Linked DNA regions of Kluyveromyces lactis. The protein of the gene in region 2 purifies or fractionates together with the protein of the main gene of each other region. This does not show direct contact. Links are inferred from orthologs where the notes say so. Each region holds a gene or a part of one and is shown on either strand. Other genes may lie near its edges. The genes, in order: DSC2 and UBX3.

Region 1 (3,088 bases), on a different chromosome or scaffold from region 2:
ATTCGTGGAAAAGGTGGAGCAGTATGTGAAGAGTCCTGAGGATTTCGATATGTGCTTCAGCAAGTTCCAAGAACATCTATCCAAATATAAGTACATGCAAGAGTCTAAACTAGCAAACATAAAACAGCTTAAAAGCAAGATTCCAGATATTGAAAATACTCTCAATATGTGTGCGCTTTTGAAGCAAAAGAGAGAGACAGAGGTTGACGAAGACGATGAGGAGGAAGATGACAGCTTGCTGATCAACTATCAGCTAAATGAAACGCTTTTTAGTAAGGCGTCAGTCAATCCGAAGGATCCTGAATTAAAGGTCGGGTTATGGTTAGGTGCCGATGTGATGCTCGAGTATCCTCTAGATGAGGCAATTGAGCTTTTAGCTCAAAAGCTAGCAGATGCCAAGCAAAATCTGGACATATCTCAGCAAGATGTGGAGTTCCTAAGAGAGAATATCACGACTATGGAGGTCAATTGTGCTAGATTATACAATTGGGATGTTCAAAGGAGGCAGCAGATGAAAAAGGAAGGCTCTTCTGGTTGAACTGTTTCTTTAAATCCTATTTATGTATATACACCATGTAATTGAATCAACGCATTGATAGATTTAAATATTATCATTATCTACAAAAAGTGTTTCACCTTCTAAAAGTATCCAAGAACTGGACCCCTAAAGTGCGCTGAGGTTCATCTTGAGGTTCTTCGGCCTCTTCCTCATTTAGATCTTCCGATGTCATATCGTTTGTCATAACTGCGCTTGGTCTGTTTAATGTGCTAGAACTTCTGTTCCAGCTGTCTTTGAAAGGCGCCAATTGGAAGGAGTCAGTACCTGGTAGTAGCCCATTATCCATCAAGATAGCACAAATCCAACTTATTAGTCCGATTACCAACCCTGTTGCGCCTTGATTTACCATGGCAAGGAATAACAGGCCATGGATGAAAAATTGATCTGTCAGCTTCCAAACGATCGTGTTAGAATGAAGAAGAAAAGGTTGGTTGATTATTATATTGAATTCGTATAACCTTGGTGTATACTGTTTGTAGAAATGAGTCAAACACAATATTACTGGTAGTGGGCCATTTGTGTATTGATCCCACCAAATTCCAGGCAAAAGCTTGTTAAGTAGATTCGAAATCAAAAATATTACCACTGTTGTATAAGCCCATGATAATATCACGATATTAAGGTACTTCCTTGATCCAAATAGCCTCTCTAACGATCTAAACTGATACCAAATCAAGGTCATTATGGCAACATCGCTTTCATTTAAACTCCCTAACTGAAACGTAAAATACCTCCAATATTGTCCATATTCAACGATAAATGGGTCATATTGTAAAAGGAACAGATACTTCATATTGAATAATGATGCTGTTAGGGCAACCCCTACACAACAAATCATCAGTATCTTTGTTATTGGGAATTGAACCAATCCAGTTGGTATTTCCACACCTACACTATTTGTTGACGGCATTTTGGTTAAAATTTCTAGCAGCGTTCTGCCAAGTGATCTTTCCCTCGAAATGTATTGTTCGAGAATTAGTTCGGGGAGACTATTGTTTCATTCGATACCAGAATATCTGCGCTTCAAGCTCGTCTCTATTCTTTACCTGTAAGATTATAATTATTTAAGGTAAAAAGTTTAAGTCTTTCATTTTGATATTGAAATATTACGATTGAACAGTGAAACTATATGCATTCATATCAAGAAGAATACCTAGATACCATTACGAGCAAATAGGGAAGGCAATTGCCATAAACTTCAGGTACGCTAGAGAAATAAGTCGTGTGAGTACTTTGCCTGCTATCCTTCTGAACAGTTCGATGATAGAAACGGAGTCTATTAACCACTTGATAACTGCGTTAAACGGTTCATCGGTGATTTCCTCGACCGTTGGTGAGTCGCAAGTTCTTAACAATATTGTCTACTACTTGCCACGTATCCGAGATTATCAACTCTTGGCTCAGCTAATACATGCCTCGTTCCACTGGAAGCCACAGAAGCTTACCATCTGGCAAGTATTTGAAGCATCGTCTGCCGTTATGAAATGGAAGTTAGAGATCTCGGAACCGCGTTTGAGCATCCATAAATTCGTTTCGCTTTGGAAACAGGAACTCGAATCATGTTCTGCACTCAACATTTTCCAGCTTGCAACTTTAGCTGGTCTTATCAGTTGCAGGCAGCAGCTTGAGGTTTTGCAGGAGCAATTGTTTATTGATGATTCAGGAACAGCAAGTGAGGAGTTGAAAGATATTAAATTTCGTCATTTCATGCCGTATTGGAATCAGTATATGAATATATCCAAAGGTGACCATCGGTTGATTGACGATTTATGTATACTTTATTCCATGGTTCATATGCAGTCCGATTATGTTGCGTCAAATGAGCTGTTATTCCAAAGTCTTTTCAACATTCTAATGACATACATTAATAACGGCGATACAGAGTACCATGGACCAAATGCGTTCGCTTACAAACATTTGAACTTGATTTGTCAAACTTGTGAACATAGCATATCTAACACACACAATCGAAGGCTGCTCAGGAGTAAATTGGAGGAATTATGCAGAATCATGGGTGCTTTATCTGACAAAGAAACACTGACTGGTAGGAAAAAATACACAGATAAATACTACATCAACATTCTCTTTATTGTGGTTATTCTACTATCTGGGTATAAACCTTCAGCAGAAGTCGTGCATGAGATTACGATGACGTTATTCTATACAAGTTTTATTTTACAAGACTTTGGACTAGATGGATTTACCAAATATCAGGAGCTCATATATTCCGTATGTGGCAGGATTTGTCAGGACTTCGATATCTTCGATCAGATACTAAAAGAAATGATTTCTAAAATGCAATTTAATATGGATAATAAGATTTATCACTCCAAGCTGATGTTCATCTTGGAGTATTTGCAACTCAATTTGGCAGAATTGAAGATACCTGACGCATGCTATCTTGAAGAAAGAATTGAACCTCTTGTTCGACCATACCTCGATTCTTCCGATGTTAAACTTCGGGAAAGCGCACATCTTGTATGGCTTGAAGTGTTTAATAATGAAACCTGGAAAGCAGATGTCACAAAC
Region 2 (3,261 bases):
TTTGCACTTGTTTACCGGTATAGAAACAGAGTGGATATCAGAAACGTCGTAGAAATAAAGAGGAAACACATAGTGAAGGGACGATGGCCGGGTAGTGTAATTGCCAGTTGAAAAAATCGTACTTAGCTCCAGTCAAATGAGGGAAAGGCCTTAGATTCAACCTTCGACAGGCAGAATATGGTAAAGATGTCCAAAGAAAAAGGTTCAATATCATCACTTATCCAAGTCACCAGAATATACAGGTAACTTCCCATTATGTCAGACAAAGATGGAACCGCTAGTGGGCTTAAGGAAACGCCAGATTTCATAAAGAAACCTTTGTCTCATGACGAATTTTTTGTTAAGCTTGAAAAAGCTTTCAGAATGTCCAAGGTATCGCACAATCAGCTCAAAGTAAGCTTGAAAAGAGACTTGGGCAGTCATCACGTTCAAAAACCTAATGAATTGGATGTTACTTCCAATCCTACTGGTGATATCTCAAAGATGTCAGAATCCAAACGTTTAAAACAAAACGCTCAACCAGATACAAAACCATACAGACTTATCGTGCTAGTGAGCATGCCATATGATGGGAAACGAACGAAATTCTTCACTTTGGTAGATTCAAAGACTCTTGATAAATTTTGGAAGGATTATGTTAATGTTGTAAAAACAAGTATGTCTGGATTAATTAAAAAGAAGAAGAAGAAGAAGGGTGGTAAGAAAAACTGATGAAATATTCCCAACCTATTATCACCCATGAATCATAAATCCGCAATCGTGTAGCATTATAAAGTACATGTTATATATACATATATAGATGTCAAACTGCAAACCAGTAATTTGGTTTTCATTCGAACTCCACGACAATTGTTCCCGATGGATAAATTGTCCGTTCTTCCTTGATCACTGTGGTTGGCTCCAAACGGGTTCTGGGCACAGGTGAATATAGTTGAAAGTCATACTGATACTCGTAATTTGGTTTTTCTTGTGTAATATCATTCTCGCTGCTAGTGTCAGATAATAAACCTGCTCTGTATAATGCAACGTATGCGTAAATCTCCTCAATTGTTAATGAAGCATCAAATCTTCTAATAATTCTTTCATTTTCTAGTCTGATGCTTACTCTGCAACCGTCACCCGATGGTTCTGGCACTAGTACAGATTTTCTCCAAGCCAACCATTTCTTTTTAAGTTGGCTTTCCTCGATTACCCTATCCCTTTCCTGGTCCCTTTCTAGCGATTCTTGGTATCTCGAATCTTGTTGTTCTCTTAATAACCGTTGCATTTCCTGGTACTGTCTTTGCCTTCTAATCTCAACTAATACTGAATAATATGAGGCTAATTTGGCCTCAAAATGAGAGAAATCATAATCAAATAGTTGGCCCTCCACTCTGGCAAGCAATTTCATTTTATTATTCCGTTGGGGTCCAAGGGCACCTAAAAATGGAAACTGTCTAATCTTTAAAGAATTAGCAGTCTGTAGCCCTTGTGGTGTTGTAACATCGCAAAACCATACAACGCAATTATATTTGGTGACACATTCTACAAACTCGTTGGAAGTTAAAATCTTTCTTACGTACTCGAATGGATCGTATAGTATCGGATTGAAGAAAGATATTATTGCAAATTTACCATCGCTGGAACACCGACGTAAGATATCAGTGTAACCACCCTTAATCATATTTTTGCTCAACATTCCATTCTCTACATTGTACAACGTATCGAATGTATAACCACTCTGTTCGTTGGTATCGGCTGATGAAGAAAGGACATCTATAACATTTACGAATTGGTTACCCAAATCATCGCTGAAATGATTGTCTTTTCTTGTGTAGAAATGAAAGATCTTGCCTATTGGTTTGAAAACTTCCACCGAAGTTAACAGGATATTGAGCAAGTAATATAGTAATGTTAGTGGAATGTATAAGCACATTTTTAATATTCTAGGAACGCCAGCATTCAGTATTGTTTCCTGTTCAGGTTGTTCTGTATTATCATTGTCTTCAGGGAATGATCCTGGGAGAGGGGTAAAACTCACTGCAGGTTGGTTCTGCTGAGACGGCCTACTGAAAATGTTGAATACCATGTTCAACAGTTGCAGATTCGTTTCTATAGAAGAGTACAGCCTCTAATATAGGTGAAGCTTTCTCTTCTTCTACTGAAGATTTACCCTATGGATACCATTGACAACTTTTAAAGGATGTCTGATATTGTTTTTTAAATGTCAAATTTAATGGACAGACAATGATAGATCATCGTGAGTGGAAATTCACAAAGAAAAGCGCCACGGCTAAATAGTACAACTAAGGCATTTAATAGTTAGAGTATAATTCCCGATGATTGCTACTCTCAATTTTATTATATTCCGAAAGTTATTTTCTTCACCTATGGAGTCATGTTAATTTAGGTATCATAATGAGTATATAGTTTTATAGTATTACACATGCCATCAGAGTTAATCGTGAATTCATTACACTTTCATTGACAGATTAGACATGGATGGTTCTCCGCGTCTATTAATGAAATTGTTAACGTCAAGGATAGCCAGTCCGAATATGGGATGAATAGGCTCAACTTCCGGTTCTGGCACAAGTGGAGTTGCAACAAAATCGAAGGGTGAATTGTTTCGGACCATAAAAGAATGTTCGCAAATTGATAAACCAGCCAACACATAATTGGTATGATAAAAGTCCGCTTGTGTTCCCGGTTTATCTCTTAGGCCAGGGCTTTCTTCCGATTGACAGCATTTCAATATATATTGTTTTAGGGCGTCTTTATCTATGCATACTCCATACCCGTATGCTTCTAAGATTGCAGCAGTTCCGCCAACCCAAAAACTGTAGCAACCATCTGTAAGTTTATTGCTTCTTCCGTTTAAACCTTTCTCCTCTTTAGTTTGACGAGAACTACACCATGACAATAACGCATCGATATTGACCTTATCTAAGGCATTCAACATTGCCAAGCTGGCTACTGCACAAAAAGTGTAGCCACCATGTGCTTCATCATTTGGGCAGCCTCCGAAACCACCCTCGTAAGATTGGCATCTTGTCAAGAATTCCGTCACATTACTTGTTAGTTTAGAGTCCACAATGCCTAGTAGTGACGCTATAGATAATGCAGTGTATACGCCTCTCACATCTTGTTCGCCGACTGGGCGTGCAGTCATGAACGCGCCGCTAGGTGTTTTAAGAGAAATGAGCCAGTCGTATATAGCCTTTTTATTGATTTCTCTGTTATCATCGAGATTGTGACATAGAGCGATGGAATTTATAGCAG

The links.
Region 1: the proteins of UBX3 (region 2) and DSC2 purify together in Saccharomyces cerevisiae (affinity purification with western blotting; 5 studies listed by BioGRID, with this or other methods). This does not show direct contact. The link is inferred for Kluyveromyces lactis from reciprocal best matches to the Saccharomyces cerevisiae genes UBX3 and DSC2.

The regions. Positions count from the first base shown.
Region 1 is NC_006039.1:413,643-416,730, forward strand, and holds DSC2 (Dsc2p), read right to left. Parts: upstream 1,470-3,088; coding exon 633-1,469; downstream 1-632. Other genes in the region: tubulin-binding prefolding complex subunit PAC10, read left to right, coding at 1-538; PEX8 (Pex8p), read left to right, coding at 1,820-3,088.
Region 2 is NC_006042.1:680,334-683,594, forward strand, and holds UBX3 (clathrin-mediated endocytosis regulator UBX3), read right to left. Parts: upstream 2,069-3,261; coding exon 830-2,068; downstream 1-829. Other genes in the region: RNA-binding signal recognition particle subunit SRP14, read left to right, coding at 256-711; RAM1 (protein farnesyltransferase), read right to left, coding at 2,453-3,261.